2 linked regions of the Diceros bicornis minor genome follow. The protein of the gene in region 2 purifies or fractionates together with the protein of the main gene of each other region. This does not show direct contact. Links are inferred from orthologs where the notes say so. Each region holds a gene or a part of one and is shown on either strand. Other genes may lie near its edges. The genes, in order: ITGB1 and ITGA2.

Region 1 (9,789 bases), on a different chromosome or scaffold from region 2:
CATCCTCTATACCAATGATCATCAAAGCTTTTTGATCACTCACCTTTATTACTAAAAACAATTTTGAGCATACATGTACCCAGAATATATGCATTTATAAATTAAAATACATGTACTTCTACAACAATATAGTAAGATACTATAAATCATAACAAAAATTTTAAACTTTAAAATGATGAGATTAAAAAATATATATAATATTAAGTCTAATATTGTCTTCCTATACTCCAGTGAGTCATTTCACACATCCTTGGGGTCCAGTAACCTGCACTTTGAGACTGTATGATGAGACTGGTCCTGGGAGTAAGAAACAGATGTGCACACACGCACGCGCGTGTGTGTGTTTATACACATATGTGGTATGGATATCTGAAGCAGTTTCTTTTTACTCACACACACACAGCTCATGATGAGATGACATACACATGCTTTAGCATATTGCTAAACAGAGTTAATCTGATCATCTAAAGCTACAAACCAAAAATAACGTTTAAAGGTAGTTGACTTCTAAAAACCCACATTACATTATTTTACAAAAAACACTTAATTCTGTAAAAGTCTTATAATTAGCCATCTTTAAAAAGATGAGAAATTTACAAAGTATAGTTTGGCTCCTGTTGCACACACCTCCTAAAAAAGAGACAGATTTTTTTCAACTGCCTACTGAAATATTCTAAGGCTGCTACTGTTCTGGGTTCTATGGACTGCAGCTCCTTTAACCTAAGTATGTACTGTAATATTTTTTCAGTTTTCTACAGCTACAGACACGGCTACCACTTCAGGACCCTGATGACTAATGTGCTCTTTCCTACCCTTATTCCTGTCAACCCTTCCTCCCTACCACAAGACTCCCACCTCTGCAACAACATAAAAGGACAACAATCCTATAATATATAACCGAAGTCAGAACAGACCTGCTAATACGACAAGAGATATTTACATATTGGCACAATATAATCCTCTAGGATTCTACCCACAACCTGACAGATCTAACTCTCCATGTAGAGTGGGGAAATGTAAAATTTAACAACAGTCCATACGAATCCTTTCGGAAATTTAGCTTGTTACAAGTTTAGAAATTTAAATTCTTAGAACTCAAAAGTTCTGAAACTTTTACCAGTTAGATGTTTCATCTCATCACCCTAGAGTGTAGTTAAGAGCAAAACAGTGCACTTACAGAATATTAAAGAAAAATATTTTCTTCGGATAGAATATTACACTACTCCCCCCATGCTGTGAGCCACAGTTTATTTCACAAGAAGCCAAACAAATAAAGATATTAAGTGGCCAGAGTTCCATGAAAACTAACACTATGTTAAACTGTTTGACTAATTTTCACTATTTCATAAAGTTATAAAGTGACCAGAGGTCCCCAGAGTCTCTCTCGGAGTTAAGAATTTATCAACACCAACAGAGAACTGCATATTCATTCAGTGATGGTAATTTGGGGCAGATTTTAATTATACTGATCAGAAAGTTAAGAAGAAAACCACCGGATTGTTAAAATTACTAAATCCAGTGATTTTCAATATCATTGATTCTATACTTTTCATGTGCAGAATGTCGAGGGGATTAGAAAAATAATCTTAATATAGAACTTGACATTCTTTTTATTTATTTATTTTTGTGTGTGTGTGAGGAAGATCAGCCCTGAGCTAACGTCCATGCTAATCCTCCTCTTTTTGCTGAGGAAGACCGGCTCTGAGCTAACACCTATTGCCAATCCTCCTCCGTTTTTTTTTTCCCCCAAAGCCCCAGGAGATAGTTGTACGTCATAGTTGCACACCCTTCTAGTTTCTGTATGTGGGACGTGGCCTCAGCATGGCCAGAGAAGCGGTGCGTCAGTGCGCGCCCGGGATCTGAACCTGGGCCGCCAGTAGTGGAGCTCGTGCACTTAACTGCTAAGCCATGGGGCTGGCCCCCAAACTTGACATTCTTTTTAAAAGAATCAACATCACAAAAACAAAAGTTTAGGTCTGTGAAGTCCACGCAGATGACTTAATGTGGAGTTTATCTGCTCTTTATTTACAGAAGTATTAACCACATCCCGTCTTTCTTTTTTTTTAATAACTTTTTAAGTGTAGCAAAATATACATAACATAAAACTCACCATCTTAACTGTTTTTAAGTGTACAATTCACCATATTAAATACATTCACACTGTTGTGCAACCATTACCACCAACCATCTACAGACTCTTCATCTTGCAAAACTGAGTCTGTACTCATTAAACAACAACTCCCACACTCCTTTTCGCCAGCCCCTGGCAACCACCCTTCTACTCCGTCTCTCTGAATCTGGCTTCTCTAGGTACCTCATAGAGGCGGAATCAGACAGTATTTGTCCTTTTGTGACGGGCTTATTTCACTCAGCATAATGTGCTTCCCCTTACTTTTCAAGAGCAGGAAAGTGGGAGCAATGGAGTTGGGCTTCTTTTTAAAAAGTCGTTTCTTGAAATGTTGTTGTCTTCTAATTCAACTAGAGCTCACCATCGCAGATAACAGCTTTGGACATTATGCTCATGCATCCCCTGTCTTTTTAACTGGCATTCTAATAACATCCATTTTATACTGAATTTTAGCATAAGTAAAATGGATTTGCCTCAAACGCCTGTAACCAAAATACTGATTTGTTTCATCTGTTTTCTAATTATCACTGCCTCGTCTTCAGTTACATAATACTGATCACAGAACCAAAATTATTTAAAAATATCACCGTTATTGGGACTCTTAAGTAAGTCCTGTCCCCTCTGGGCCTTGATGTCCACAAACGTAAAATAAATAACTTCCAACTAAAATTCCTTAATCATTTCTAAAAGTAGTCTATTATACAATCTATTGCAAAAGCTGTATTTAGTTTAAGAAAGACGCCAAATCAAAATTCACTTCACATTTATTTTCATACCATCAAAACAACAATAAAAAATAACAACCCAGTAATTCTACCACCTAAGTATCTACGTGGGATGCAGACCCCAAAAAACCTTACTAATGATGTTATCAATTACATGCTGAGATTTTTTTTAATCATTTAATATACTAAGAAGGAAGGAAAAGAGATCAATATTTATTGAGCTTCTACTCTAACCTAAGTGTTTTACATTTTACGTGTGATTTTTCACAACTATACTGTACTTACGGAAGATTACTTGTGGTTCAAACATGGTCTAGACAAGGTTTCTCCACCTACTAGCTGGATGACCACAGGCAAATGACTTATGCTCCCTTCGCCTCAGTTTCTTCATTTATAAAATGGGGATAAAAACGGCACCTACCTCACGGATCAGTTCCAGAATTAAACGACAAAATACATGTAAAAGTGCCTAGAGCTACACATGGCCCTCACTGTCGTTCTTATAATAATTAATTACTACTGTTATTAGTGTAGGTATTCTTGTTCCCATTTCAAAGATAAGGAAATGGAAGCTTAAAGAATGTAAATGACTAGTGATCATACCAACCAGTACTAGGTTTTGACTCAAAAGCACAAATTTGATCAAATAAAAATTACTTAGGCATTAAACACTGGTATTCTTAAAAATAGAACTTGTTTTTAGGAAGCATAAGAAATGACACATAGTAAGCCGGCATCAGAACCGGTCGGGCACTAAACCCTGCGGGGACGCCGGGAGGGCCGGCCGGGCCCTGCGCGCTCAGGGCGCCCGGCCCAGGACGCGGCTCCCTCCGGCCCCTGCGGGCGCCGGCCGCCCCGCCTGCCGAGGTATCCGGCACTCCAGTGCGGCTCTTTTAAATATTAAGCGGAAAAAAAAAAACCCCACCATATGCCAACGCTGCGCCCTCTTCTCCTAGCTGCTCTCCGACGCCCCCTCTTGTTCAGGTCCACCCCCCCTTCATCCCACGCCACAGGCGCTGAGAGCCAGCACCCAACTTCTGGAAGTGGGAAGGACGAACAATTTTCCTTATGTGGAAGCTAATGACTAAGCTCAACGTTGCTCAAAGAAAGAGCAGCCCGCGCCCGAGACGGAGACAAAGAGCAACTGTCAAGGATCGTTCCAAGTCCTGGGACGGCGCGTCCCGGGAGGCCCCGTCCGCGCCCGCACTGCGCGCCGCGGCGGCGGAGGGGACCCGGGCGCGCGGGGCGAGCTCCCTCTCCGGCGCCCAGGCCGCGCGTCCGGCACGGGGCGCTGTGAATGGCAGGCGTCTGAGCGGCCGGTCGGGGCCCCGGTCCTCGCACCCCGCGCCCCCGACGTGACAGCGCCCAGGCCGGCGACCCTCCCACTCGGACCGCGGGGGCCGGCTCTGCGCGCTCGGGCCGCCGGCGCGCGGGAGGGACGGAGGCGGCGGGGAGGGGGCCAAGGTCCGCGAGAGAAGCCTGGAGGGCGGGCGCCGGCCGGACTTCCCTTCCTGCCCGAAGGCTGGAATCCGCCTCCCCCACCCCGGCCGGACAGAGAGGTCCCGGCCTGGCCGCGGCGGGCGGCCCGAGGTCCGGCCGCGCACCCGGGCCCGGAGGCCGCCGCCCGCCCCGTGCCGGGCCCCTACCTTCTCCGGGCGGCGTCCGGGCCCCGGCCGGTCGGCTTGGGCCTGCTGCTCCGCGGCTCCCGCTCGGCCTCTCCCGAGGGCTGGCGCGGCCTCCCGGTCTCGGGCGCGGCGGGCGGCGGCGACCCCGCCTCCTCGGGGGCGGGAGGAGGAGACTCGGCCCCCGGAGCCGCCTCCCGCAGGAAACGACCCCCGCGGCACCGCCTCCTCGGCGCGGCCGAGCCTGCTCCTCGGGCCGCCGCCGCCGCCCTCTCCCTCCGGAAGCGCATTCCTCTCCGGCCGCGTCAGCCGCGCCCCAGGCGAGGAGGAGGCGCGGGCGGCGGAGGCGGCGGGAAGACCGAGGCCGGGACAAAGGAGCTGGCCCGGGGAGCCGCGCTGGGAGGGCGGGGCACGGGACCGGCGGAGGCCTTCGCCGTGCCTCAGTTTTCTTTTCTGCTAAGCGGGAGCGGGAGGTGTAAGGCCTCGGCGAGCGTTAATCGTATCCTCCCATAAGAGAAGGCCGGACGGGCCGTGGGCAACCCGGGGCGGGACTCTCCTTTTCCGCCTCTCTTAGGTTCTGCTTCCCCGAAGCCGCAGGTCTGTCTGTCCGACCCACCGTCCCGTTTGCCGGGGGGACTGTCCCGGGAGCCCCTTCAGTCCCAGGCAAATCGAGGCAGGGCTTCGTGGGGCCCGAAAATGTTTTCCTTTTGAAAGGGAATTAGCCAAAGCCAATACTGTTTTTCTGGAGTGATAGTTTGCTTGGCTTATGTGTATGAGGAAGGTGAAGACTTAGGAAGGAGATGGGTGCCAACAAAGATGGAGACGAAGAATATTTTAGAGAATAACTGGTGAGTTGGGGAGTTGCTTTTGTTACATTAATCTGGAGGTCCATTTATGGGGAACAGGCATGTGAAGGAAAAGTTTCATCCTTAAGAATACAGTTTCTTTTGATTTTCACTTTTTTTAGTAGGTGGAGATGGGGGCTGGAGAAGGAACATTTAAAAGAGAAGGGAAACATTCATTACGAGAATGGCTGGGCACATTTTGATAAGAGAATTGAAACCTGTGCCAACATCATACTGAAACCCAGTAATTCAGAATATGCTGTTGACAAGCTGCCATTCTGTTAGAAAATGTGAGTTGCCAGCTGGTGAGCTGCAGCACCCCGTGGGGAATAGAGCTCAAATTATGAGATTTGTGAAACTGAGAAGTAGTGTTTCACTTGGGGGAGATTAGAAGCTGGGATGCCCATTTGATTGCCAATCTTAAATAAGAGAAAATAAAATAATACCATCTATGGAAAATTTGCACATTGCTCACCAGCAAAAGCAAATCTGTTGACTAGATAATCTCTGAAAACCTCTAAAGAAGTTAGCATGATCTTTCCCACTTAATGGTTGACCAAGGTTAAGAGGCTGAATGATGTTTCTATATTAGTAACCCAATTGTAAAGCTGCCACTAGACCTCAACATTCTTGAATTTAAAGGTGTTGGTTATACCACTATTCCAAATGAATCAGAATTGGCTGAGGCTCAGCATAGGAAATTATAGTTCTAAAGATAAAGTGGAATTGATTGATGCTTGATTTGCACTACATTTCCCAGAATTTTCTTCCCTGTATATGATTTGAGGAGGCGATCTTTGCCACAAGAACATTATGAGTTTTACGTTTGCACAACCCTAAACTAAATTAGTTCAAGGGCAGTTTAATTATCTTTTTAATCCCAGGGTCAAACACTGTTCCAGGACACATAATGGGGGCTCAGCTAATGTTTGATAAATGAATAAATGGGTCCTTTTGCTACCCTGGGACCAGGCCAGAGCATTTGGCTAAACTGAAGTGTGAGTAACAATTTATGTATGAGAGTCATGAGCTTTGAGGAAAAGAGAAATTAAAGAAACATGTTCTTTAAGATAAGCAGTGATTGGTCAGGAGTATGACTCTACTTGTAATTTCATATAAATATTAACCGATGGACAGTTAGCTAACTATAAAATTTTTGAACACTCCAAACAAGGGTTGGTCAGTCACCATGCGCAACAGGAAATCCTGGTAAGTAAGAATAGTGGGAGTCACATTGCTTAACCACATCATGATAGAACATCTAATAGTATTTTGAATTTAAGACAAATCATACTTTACCTACACTGTCTCCCAATTATTATAAATTGTCTTCTGACATCTCGTCATAACTCATTATGTCAAATAATTAAAAGTTGGCCTTTCCTTTAGTTTTGGCGCCATACTACCATATACTCTTCAAAATGTCTTTATTCACCTACTGTTTTCCGAAGTAAAGTTTCAAAGTTGTTCACCAGCAAAGACTTGATTGGATGCCCAAGTTCATTTTAATCATTAATAATTACAAATTACAGATAATAATTACAAATATTTCTATTTTTAATTAAAGGATAGGCTTACATAAATGAAAGGAACCATTAATATTAAGTCAGGTACAAAAGAGCCTAAAGGCTTCTCTAGAAACCTGATTATCTCTTTCAAACATCACAGTTTGATTACTGCCCTTCAGATCTAGTAGGTTGTATTTAATCACCTGATTATGGAATATGGGATTGGGAGGGAGAGTGAGTGGAGAGCTGTCTTTTTCTTGTAGTTTGAGCACTCTTGGGACTTAGCCTTTCAAATATGACTCCATCCAGTAAATCACAAATCATCCTATGCTAACTTGAATGCTTTTCAGTCTTTCAGAGTGGAAACAACCCTAACCAGTGTAAACTTTTGTGGGCAGGTAGCTCAGTACACATTCCTTTATAAATCATTTACCACATGCAACAGTCATCAGAGGGCAAGACCTCATGGGGTTTGAACAAAGGATGAATACCTGCATTGTGAGAATAGTATACCCAAGACCAAATATTTTTTGGTATTGGCCATTGACTGACACATTGTGGCACAATCCATACCAGATCATTTTTAAGTAAGCAGGGTGACTTTGTGTCCCGGTATGCCCAAGATAGCCCCAGTTTGTCTGTTGTCCAAGCATAATTATCAATAGCACCCCTTTTCAGTCTCAAAAGTACATCCTGATATGGTTAATAGATTATATGGTCAGTCACCCTATAAATAAGAGTGTCCAGACAATGAATAATGAGAAGAGTAGTTTTAGAAATTCAAAGGGGATACACAGGGACACTGCAAATCAGGCTCCAGGTTGATAGGTGAAGACTAATTCTAACATTGATGATAAGGAAAAAAATTGTGTGGGGCAGGAGTGTGCTGAATTAGGCAGTTCCTATGTGATGAAAATGCCCTACTAGGAGATTTAATTAAGGAAAATCCTTGGAAGTAGCCTGGCTAATCAACAAGACTTGGGTTTTAAATACCATTTAAATATCTGTGATGGCTTCTGGAGCAGACTGATTGACAGTGGCTAGTGAGTCTTCAGCCTCTTTTCTAAGAACTGTTTCTACAGAGTGACCTAGATATATTTTTCTCATCTGCCACCTCCGGATGCTTAGAATTTAACTCCTTTAAACATTAAAAAAAGAAAAAGACAGCGGATGGGGATAGAAGGAATAGAAGTCTCTGATAATGCCCTCTAATACTAACGTGGAGGTGCTTCTGAATCATAAATAACTCCATTCCTTTTTCTGAGAAACTAAACTCCCTCTATTAAAATGTGAATCTGTGTGCTTTGGTAAAAAAAGCAGCCCTGGGAATTACTGGCATTTTGAAAAACAAGAAATGGTAAGACAGTCCTTCTAGTTCCTCCTTTTTCTGTCTCCAAATATATAAATAATATGCAAATAATCATATAGTGTAGAAAAACTGGAAGTTTATTTATTTTGCAACTTTTTGTTTTGGCTTGATGGCTTCAATTTAGAGAGCACTCCTCAATGCCCTGCCATAATTTCCAGAGGACCCATGAAAAATTCAGTTTGCTGCAAGGCAGCCACCCACCTTGTACATATGGCAGGTGTCTGTATTTGACTAGCCTGTCCTGAGGCTTTAGTTAGTGCTTTATTCCTTTGCTTATTTAAAAGTAAGGTGGCAAATGTCAGAACAGTCTGGCCTGATTTGCAATGTGTCCCTTATAGTTTAGGCTAGCCATTAAGTCTTTTCCTTTTCTAGATAGTTAACAGTTGCTAGATTATGGCTTTGAATATGGGTCACGTCTGAGCAAAGCTGCCTCAACCGGTTCTGCTTCCTGATATAGCATCCCCGCTTTTGGTCCTGCTCAGTCCGTGGAGTATTGCCTCCACTGGGTGGGAGCATTCCCTGCCAGCATTCAGATGCTGAACATTTTTAAGAGCCCAGAGGAAACAGTGTTTTTAGGCAGCTCTTTTCAGACACTGGGTTTCTTCAGCTGGAGAAGGGAATGTGCCTTCCCAAATAAGAATGAAGAATATGCCAAATATAAGCAGTTGAATAGCACTGGAGTTATTTTTAGGAACCAGGGTCACTCAATAGAGGAAATGATGGTGCTACCAACAAGTTATGGCTAGTGACTATAAAACAACATTCTTTGTTTCCTCATTTAACTCCTTTTAAGAATATTTGGCAATTTGAATTAAGAGCAGCCTGATTTGAGGCCTGATTCATTAGGGAGTCGGAAGTCTAGGTCAGTTAAAAGATACGTTTGTTTGGTAAGTAAAAGCACCCTATTTCCCCAAATTAATCCCCATAATGTTATCTAAGATTGAGTTCTTGCTGTGTACCAATATATGGGAAACCGTGTGTCTATGAACCCCCTAAAATTTGTAGACAAAATTTCATTTATACATATAGATCTGCATTTCTGCAGATATTTCTGGTTTAAATGGTATCTTAACCCCAAAACATTAAGAATCACTATTTTAAGCTCAGATATAATCAGTTCCTTTTATAGACCAAGAGCCTAAACAAATTTTTTTGTAGTTGCCCTGGAATTTTCAGTTATATGTTTGTTAGTCTTATCTAAAGCAATTTTTGTGTGTGTGTGTGTGTGTGTGAGGAATACTAGCCCTGAGCCAATATCCGATGCCAATCCTCCTCTTTTTGCTGAGGAAGATTGGCCCTGGGCTAACATCTGTGCCCATCTTCCTCTACTTTATATGGGATGCTGCCACAGCATGGCTTGACAAGCGGTGCCTCAGTGCACACTTGGGATCCGAACCTGCGAACTCTGAGCAGCTGAAGTAGAGCACGCGCACTTAACTGCTGCACCACTGGGCCAGCCCCTAAAACAATCTTTTAAACATAAGATAAATGTCCAATATTTTGTTATAGCAAGATTTTCACTGCAGTCTTATTTAACCTGTAGGAGGTAGAACAGAAAAAGCACAATCATTTGTGATCAAACCACACAACTA
Region 2 (9,777 bases):
CCACATTGGGCCTAGCACGTTGCCTTACATATAGCAACTACTGCGTAAAAATATGATCAAATACTAGTTTTATGGAATTCACTGCAGCCAGATCAACAAAGCACCTGTGGATCACGTGAAGGGGCATCATAGGAATCACTTTCATATCCAGAAGCTATTGTTGTTTCAGGATTTGTGATATCAAGATTCTTCTCTTTAGAGAGTATTCTTCTATTGTGTTCATCCGAGTAAATCATTTGTCACTATAACAAATGAAAAAAAAAAAAACACAAAACCCTTCACATCTTTGACTTGCTAATGAGAGTGACAGCCTTCCATGGTTTTTTCTCTTTTATGCTGTGCTGAATCTTTCAGCAATATCCCAAGCTAAGCAGGGCTGATAGTCCAGACTAAAGCTTGTGACTTTAACAGTAATATTTACATGATGTCAGGATGATACTTTTGGTCCCAAATATTTTCCCTGAAATTCTTTATTTTTGACACACTAACTAAATGTGTCTTTATTTTGCTGAATGTCTAACATTCCATCATTACAAGCTCATCTTTTTACATTAATAGGCTTCTCCCTTTTAATATGCCCAAGGCTGTTAGCACTGAGACAGGAGCAGTCAGCACCCACTTTAGAGGGAATTCACTCAAACTGAGGCATTCACTGACTCCTGTGTTGAAATCTACCTGTCTTGGTGGTCATCTCACAACCAGGTAGTACAGGCAACACTGGAAATTTAATTCGTTAGGAAAGAGGAGGTGCAGTGCTAATATTTAAGCAATTACTTCTAAACTTGGCTGTACATCAGAAACATATGAGTAATTGTTTTTAAATACTGAATCCTGAGCCCCAATCCATGACTTTAAATCAAACAGTGGCTCATAAGCCAGTATTTAAGAGAGCAAAGCTCAGCGGAGGTTGGGCAGGTATAGCAGGTACAGCTGGAGAGCCCCGGGGTGGGAGGAGTTACGTTCTCAGAGGGGGGCCTAAGTCTGTTGAGGGGCTGAGGATGAGAGGAGAGAGGTAGTTTAGAGTTAGTCCCAGAAATGAGAGATTATCTCAAGCTTCCTTTTTTTGTTACAAAAGAAAAACTTCCCTACTTTATAATTCTGCTTGAGATTGTCTCTTCTAACATTGGACAACGGTCGTTTGCAAAGGGATGAGAGAGAAAGATAAAAAGCATCAAGGCAGTGAAAGCAAAGAGAATAGTCTGGAAAATATTATAACACTAAATATAAGATAATCAGGTGCAGTCAGAACACAGAAGGGTGGATATACATGGCTTTGGGGTGTGTGTATTGTGTGTGCATATGTGTAGTGTGTGAGCTTGTGCATTAAGTGTGTGCAGGAGTGGATGTGGTAGAGGAAAGACTGAATAGGCAGGCTGCGGCCAGATGGCGAAGGACCAAACGTTTAATCAAGGCAGTGATTGAATACAGGTAAGCATTCAGAAAGTAACATTGGTGACAATGAGGAGAATGGACTGGACGGATAAGAGACAAAAACAGGACAACCAATTTTAAAACTGTAGTTGTCCAGACACAAAAAAAGCAAGGGCCTGAACGGGGTGGTTGCAGAAGTTGCATGAGTTGGAGAGGAGAGAGAACAGAACCTGAGAGATTGGCCGTGAGGGTGAAAACGAGGGAAAGGATTCCTAGTTTTAGGAATACACGATATTGCTGCCATTAAACAATAGTAGAAGATATAAGAGAAAATTTCAAAGGACAGGTGTTGACCTCAGTTGAGGACATGTGGAGTTTGACGTGCTTTTATGACATCTAGGTGGAGATACTTGGTAGCAGATGGAAATAGTGATCTGGAACTCAGGAGGGGAGTCTGGCTGGAGATAATGACTTGAGCAGGGAACTGGCCCAGAGAGAATTGGTAGAATGAAGAGGAGGATCCAGGATGGAACTCTGTGAACACCAAGGACCGGGCCAAACAGATGAGCCTGTGAAGGAGACTAAGAAAGAACAGCCGGGAAAATAGGAGAAAAGAGCAGAAGCCAGAGGTGGAGAGTGTTTCAGGAGGAAGGAGCTGCCAAATTACATATTAAAAGGAGGAGTTGCTTACTATGAGAGAAACTAGAATTATTTACAGCCTGAGGGAAAATTAGAGAGAGGATGTGAAGATATTCCTTAAAGAGGGGATGACTGGTGCAGGGTACCAGAGGCAGTGAGAGAAGATGAGGCCTAGAACCCAGGGGGAGGATTGTCCTTGGCCTGGCAACACACCTGAGAATGTGTGACATCATCATTTTAAAATTACATTTCACTTTTCTCCACAGACCTATTATTTAGTTTAGGGATTATCTAGGTCTCATGACTGCAAGCACTTAAACCCAGGAATGACCAATGAAAGGTGATAATATGGAACCAAACTATGAATATCGCTGTTTCTTAAATACCCGTGAGAAGGTTTATGAAAAGCGAATGTGCATCTAAGTGTTAAATGAGATTTGAGGGTTTTAAGTTTCCACAGTGGTTGGTGTGTATGCTGGAGAGGATGAAGATATATAAAGACACACACATATATGCCTTTTACATTTTAATTTTTGGTATGTATTTATATAAAACAATTGTACATGTATATAATTTGTAAACAACTATATCTGTGTGTGTATAGTAATGACAAATACTCCAAAATTTTATACAGATAGGGTAATGCCATAAAAAATTTCAGCTATCACGGACCTAAAGATTTCATTTGTTCATGTTAATTTTGGATATTCATGGTTCAAAAAAATGATGCTGCTTCCATAGGAACCTCGACTGATATCACAGATGACAAAGCTTTATTATGATCATCCTGAATTAAAAGAAAACCTGTTCCTTGAGTATGCAAACAACTGGAGCAGAAGGAAGGAATAAACATGCAACATATTTTCACAGATGTCATTTCAGATCACCTCTGCTTGCTTGCATTGAGTTGTCCTTAGCAAATAACTCCAGGTGAAAATCTCTGTACCTGACCTCATGCCTTGCAGCAACACATTCCATCAAAGTATTTCTCATTCCCCTTTAAAAAACAAGCCTCAACAGCTCAAAGATAAGAAAATGATGTTATGTTTCCATAGCTTCTGTTAATGGATAATTAAAGAGAAATGCAAAGCTTGGAATTAAACGTCTATTAGCTCTTGGGAAGGTTGCCATGTTCCAGGGACTAATTTTCAATGTGAATCCAACTTTATCTGAAACCCCTAAATTAGGGTTGATGGCCTCTCAAAACACTCTTGGAGTCCCCAGAAAGAATATCTGTGAAGCACCAGACACAGGGTTAGAGAGAAAACCTATTGATGCCTATTCTCTGCTGGGCGTGGGGATGGTGGTGCTATTTCTCTGTTATCTCTGACCTGGAGAAAATGCTACAGGGTCCATCTGGACTAGGTTTCTTCCACAATAAAAAATAGCGACTGGCTAAATGCCTCGAAAGGAGGACAGTTTAGGAAATATTTATCTTCTTTGTGAAAACACTTGAAAATCAGAGACCATTTTTTTTGTTTTGATAGCTGTTCAAACTACAAAATACAAATGTGGCTTCTTTCCCACCAAGTAAACTGAAGTTCTTCAAGTAAGCACATTCTAGGCTCTGGATAAGGTCTGGGGACAGTTCTCTTGGTGGACGATGGTCGCACAGCAGCTCAGCACCCCAGCCTCACTTCCCCTCTCAGTGCAAAAGGAGTCGGGCGATGGGTGGGCCCCACTCTCACCGCCCTGCAGCTGCAGCTGCTGCTCCGGTGAATTCTGGCGGCTAAGATCAAGCAAGTGGAAAGAACTTTTCCTGGCCTAAGTTTACTTTCGTTGAGCAGACGACGTTACAACAAGAGGAAGGCAGAAGGAAGGAAGAATTCCCCTCTGCCAAGTATTTAAGAGGCACTTGGTTTTTCTATGTACCCTATGGGAGGAAACGTCAGTGCTGCGTCCTGAAGAAATACAGGCATTATTCATACCCTTGGGCTGAAAAATAAGCACTTTGGGCTCCCAGGCTCCTGCAAAGTCATCAGGCACGGCGCTGAGGAGGTGCAGGCTGCTGCCCAAGACTGGATTCCGGGGACCCACAGAACCCACTGGTCCCAATGTGGCACGGCACCTGTCTGAGCCAGGCTGCAGGACTCTCCATCTCCAGGACACCCGTTAATCTCCACTCCCTCTATGCATGTGTGCGCGTGCGTGTGTCTAAAACCAAAGCGCGCACTGAGATGACTTTGGAGGGTGTTTAACAGACAGGGTGAGACACGCATTATGGGGACACCAGGCAGGGGAGAGCGGGAATGGGGAGTCTCTCCATCCGGCTCCGGATGGCAGGGAGCCTGGTCCACGTGATATCCAAGGGGAGACGCGCGCTGCCTGCGCCCTCATTCCACATAACCCCTCCCGCCCGCCCCCGGGACCCGCGCAGGTCCCTCCTGCAGCCGATGCGGAGCAAACTCCTCGCTTACCTTGACTGAGCACTAACACCAGCCGCAGCGGCGCGGCCCCTGTCCGTCCTGGCCGCATCCTGCGCCTGCCCTGGGGACTGTAGCTGCTCTGGGTTTGCAGAGAGATCCAAGAATCCAGACACTCTCCAAAGCAGTCTCCAGAGCTTCTCTCCTCCTCCCGGGTGAGAGCCGGGAAAAGTTGCCCGGCAGCTTCTGGGGCGCCAAGGCCCGCCCCGGCCCGCCCCTCTGCCTCGGCAAACACCGGATCTGCCCTGGCCCCGCCCCGCCGAGCCCCGGCCCTCCGCCCCGGGCTGCACCTGGCTCCTCCACACCCCCGGAAACCACACCTTAACTCCCCTGCACGGTCCCAGCCCCGGGATCCCCGAAGCCTTGGGGATGGGGACGGGCCTTTCCTGCCCTGGACCGGACTGGCCGGGCACATCCGACGGGCAAGAGCCCGCCTGTCACTACCTCGACCCCCGACAGCCTGACGCCCCTCCGCAGGAGACCCCCGGGTCCCCAAGAGAACCCTGGCACTTCTGCAGCCATTCGCCGCTCCGGGATCCTGGGAGGGGTGGGAGGGCCAGGGGGAGCCGCGAGCCCTAAGCCCCAGTTCTTAGGGGCTGCGCGGTGCGTGGCTTTCTCTGCCTTTCCCAGGTAGGTGGAGAAACGGACAAAAATAAGCACAGAATGACCAGGTTAGAAACCAACTGGACAGGAAAGAAGATCTGCTCACAAGTGATGATTATCCGAGGTGATGTTTAAGCAAGACCTGCTGCGAGAGCATCGTGTGTGTGTGTGTGTGTGTGTGTGTGTGTGTGTGTGTGTGTGTGTGTGTGGTATAAATCTTCTTTCATTCCTCTCCTCCAAGATAAGGAGCTGATTTTTTTGTGTGTGTGAGGAAGATCAGCCCTGAACTAACATCCGTGCTAATCCTCCTCTTTTTGCTGAGGAAGACGGGCTCTGAGCTAACATCTACGGCCAATCCTCCTCCTTTATTTCCCCAAAGCCCCAGTAGACTGTTGTATGTAGTAGTTGCACATCCTTCTAGTTGCTGTATGTGGCCTCAGCGTGGCCGGAGAAGCCGGGAGGGGGGGGGGGGCGTCGGTGTGCGCCTGGGATCTGAACCCAGGCCGCCAGTAGCGCAGCGCGTGCACCGCTAAACCACCGGGCAGGCCCAAGGAGCTGATTTGATTACTAAATTTAAGCGATTTACTTCAAGACACAGAGAGAGACGAGTGAGAGCCCATACATGAATTCGTGACTCTTCCTCTGTCTATAGTACACCGTGACCATTTTCTTCCATTATTTCAGTCTCAGATCTGGAAAGAGAACAGTCTATAACCATATCTGAGATTTTTACTTACCTACCTAGGAACAGGACATTCACTTTTCTCTAAATTTGGTTTTTCCTCCAAAAGTTCAACCACAAATTCCCAACACGTTGCTGAAACCAGAATTCTTGCAGTGACTACTTTTGTGAAACAGCCAAATGTTTTAATAAATTAAACTTAAGGAGTTATTAGTCTAATCATTATTACTATCACTATTCCAAGTCTTATGGAGCAGGTATGATGAGCAAGATAGGATGCTTGGGATACTGCCACCATGAAGCAAAGTGGTTCAAGATGGGAAAGAATTCATTAATTGGTAAAAATCAAATGTTCCCCTTTACCATAGCTAGGCTGGAGTTTCCAATTTTTAAAGTATTAAATTGGTTTTTGTCAGATGCTACTGCTTATAATCATGACTCTAACCTCAATACCTTTGTACCCAAAATGTATAGCCCCTGGTTGTTTCCTGTTTTCTTATCTGTCACTTACTAACTCCACTTACTAATCCTGACAAACACTTGTGGGCATTTTCCTCTGACCTGCCTGCGGTACTCACCTGCTTACTAAGACTCTAGCTATCACCCGAGAGCTCGTAGGTGGCGGCTCAGTAACCCTGACACCCAAGTTTGACTCTCCTCACCAACTTCTCGTGGAAAGTCAGCCAGGTTTCAGGGAGATGAATATCTGTCTGTTTCCTTCTGACTCACTGAAATGTGAGTAACTATTTGGAACAGACCCTTATTTGGGAGGCAAGATAGTTCTCTTCATGTGAGACAGGAATTTGTGCTTTGTCTCTGGGTGCTGGAGAGGAAAATGCACCTTTCTTCCCTTTTGTGCTCAGAACTGAACAAATCAACAGTATGCTGGCATGAGGTACGGAATAAATCAGGAGCTATGTTTTTCTGGAGCAGGCAAAAATTTCAAATTTCAAGAAAAGCCAACTCCTGCCCCATGTTAATTTTAAGAGTGTCAAGGGTTCCTGAGACAAAACATTTTGAGAACTCTCCCCTTAATCTTCCTAGGGACTATCCTGCCTAGGTGTAATTGTTCTGGACGCTACATTCTGACCAGGAAATAAGGAAGATCAAGGCAGGGCTTCTCAAACTCTTTGATCTCAGGAGCCCTTTACACTCGTAAAATTATTGAAGATCCCTCGGAAGAATGGATAAAGAAAATGTGGTATGTAGATATGGCTGAATATTATTCAGCCGCAAAAAAGAAGGTTATCCTACCAATTGCAAAAACACAGATGAACCTGGAGGACATTATGCTAAGTGAAATAAGCCAGACAGAGAAAAACAGATAGTGTATGATCTCATTTACATGTAGAATGTAAAACAGTCAAACTCATAGAAGCAGAGAGTAGAATGGTGGTTACCAGGGGCTGGGGGTGGGGGAAATGGGGAGACGTTGGTCAAAGGGTACAAACTTCCAGTTGTAAGATGAATAAGTTCTGGGGCTCTAATGTACAGCCTGGTGACTACAGTTAACAATACTGTATCGTATACTCGAAAATTGCTAAGAGAGTAGTTCTTAAGTGTTCTCACCACACACACACACACACACACACACACACACACACACACAAAGATGGTAACTATGTGAGGTGATGGATATGTTAATTAGCTTGTGATAATCATTTCACAATGTGTATGTGTATCAAAACATAATGATGTATACCATATGTATACAATTTTAAATTGTCAATTATACCTCAATCAAGTTTGAAAAAAATTTATTGAGCATCCCAAAGAACTTCTATGTGGATTATTTCTATTAATGTTTACTATATAAGAAATTAAAACAGATACATTTTCCAATATTTATGTACTAATTTATTTTAAAATAACAATAAGCCTATTACATGTTAACATAAATAACATATATTTTGTGAAAAATAACGATATTTCCCCAAAATAAAAGAATTCATGAGAAGAATGGCATTATTGTACATTTTTGCCAATCTTTTTAATATCTGGCTTAAAAATAAACACTTGGATTTTCATATCTGCTTCTGCATTCAATCTGTGTGATATGTAGTTTTGGTTAAATTATATGAATTAATCTGGCATCATACAGATATGCAGTTGGAAAAACAGGACATAATTGTGGATATTCTTCAGACACTGCACCAAAACTCGACAAGTGGTGGTTTCTTCAAGACTAGTTGTAATGTGGAATCTGAAACCATATCAATGAACTTTTCCTACCCCAGTGCATTCAAATTCATTGGTCTATGAGCCCTTTGAACAGATCTTTTACCCATGCAAGATTTTGTCCCAAGATGCATTAGCATTTGGAAATTATTGGTTCACTGAGTTATGCAGATCTTCCAATTGTTGACACCTTTCAGTACACAATATCAAAAAAAATCCTGTCACCACCTATCTCATCAGAAAAGTCTCTACATATTGGGAAAATGTCAAGCTTATGCTGGTAGATACACATTTCCAAAATTCTAATTTTCACTTGAAAGCTGGAATTTTATCGTTGGCAACAAATACTGTCAGTTGTTTTGCTTGAAATGAAAAGCCCACTTTGTTCATTTTTTAGAAATGTCTGTCGGCTACCCAAGTCTGAGCAACCATAAGTTATATATCAATTGTTCTTTCAGGTAAAACTAATGTTTCATGAAAAAAATGGCACATTCAGTTTAGGCATCGTTGAGACAACCGTCCTACTTCAGTGCACAGCAGAAGTGCTTTATGTGTACTGCCCAGATTAACGCATGCAAAATATTCAAAAGACATACTCAAGGGTCAAGATTTATTAAAGTAATAAATTTACTGATTTATCAAGGGTATTCTTAAGTGAAACTAGCTCCTCCTTCTTCCTTCCTCCCTTCTTTCTTCCCTCTCTCCCTCCCGCCTCCTCTCCCTTCCTCTTGCACCATCAGGGTAAATGTGAACACAGTGAAAAACACGAATAGCGTCTCAGTATTATTATGGAAATCATTTTGACCTATTAAGCACCTGAAAGGGTCTTGAGACACCCAGGGACCACAGTCGAAGAACTGCTAAGGGATGGAGTGAGGCCTCTCCTCACTAAGGGAGGAGGCTCAGAGGTATATTTTCCCACTGTTCCCCTCTGACCTCTTTTTATCTTCATATCTGGCTCTTCTTTGCTTATCTCATTCCACATATACAATCACCTAAACCAGAAAGTTTTGCTTTTCGTGTGTGGGGTTACTAACAGGCCTCCTTGCCAGGCCATATCAATTCTGTCTTTACTCTCTACCATGGTTATCTATGCCACTTCCTATTCTCTGTTCTACTGCTACTTGCGTTAGTTAAAGCCCTTTTGATCTTTCACCATGATGACAGTCTCCTAAACAATCTCTCTGGGCTTCCTCCTCCCTGTCTCTGGTCTACCCTTTAGACCATCATCCCAGTTCTCTTTCTAAATGGCAGGATTGATCTACTGAAAATCTTTGGATGTCTACAGGATGAAGTTCAAGTACCTTAGCGTTTAGGCTCCCAGATGACCCCCAACATGCCTCTGCAGCCTCTCCTACCAACCCCCAGTCTCTCCCCCCGACCTGCTGCCCTGAATCCCACGCTTAGGGCAAATTCACCTCTCCAGCGACCTGCTGCTCCCATTCTTCTTTGCTAAGTCCTTAGCTCTTTTTCTGCCTAAGATGGCTTTCTCTCTTTTATCCATTTTTTAAAATTCTACTTCAAGGCTCCAATCGAATTTTATATTACCTGCCCAGCCTTTTCCTTTATTCAGAACCAATTATTCTTTCTTGGCTCCTGGCTCCCCTAGTTCAAAAAAAAAAAAAAAAATCTTTCTTTTGTATGTATTATGGTGTGAATTAAATTTAATTACTAATCCACCTTCTCACTTCAATGCTGGATCTCTGAAATCTTACACGATTATATCACAAGAGTCTAATCCTATACCTGGCAAATAAGTTGCTAAAAATAGTTACTAAATTGAAATGAATTTCCTAACAGTTCCATATTCTTCTCCCTAGACCTAAAAAGGGCAGTGAATGTGAAATTCTATGTAAGTCCTGGAAAATCTGAAATGAAGTA

What was found.
Region 1: the proteins of ITGA2 (region 2) and ITGB1 purify together in Homo sapiens (co-immunoprecipitation; 3 studies listed by BioGRID and IntAct, with this or other methods). This does not show direct contact. The link is inferred for Diceros bicornis minor from reciprocal best matches to the Homo sapiens genes ITGA2 and ITGB1.

Annotation. Positions count from the first base shown.
Region 1 is NC_080775.1:31,095,968-31,105,756, forward strand, and holds the start of ITGB1 (integrin beta-1), read right to left. Parts: upstream 4,605-9,789; 5' UTR 4,500-4,604; intron 1-4,499.
Region 2 is NC_080759.1:22,503,222-22,512,998, forward strand, and holds the start of ITGA2 (integrin alpha-2), read right to left. Parts: upstream 4,571-9,777; 5' UTR 4,486-4,570; coding exon 4,428-4,485; intron 1-4,427. UniProt on the Homo sapiens protein: Integrin alpha-2/beta-1 is a receptor for laminin, collagen, collagen C-propeptides, fibronectin and E-cadherin. It recognizes the proline-hydroxylated sequence G-F-P-G-E-R in collagen.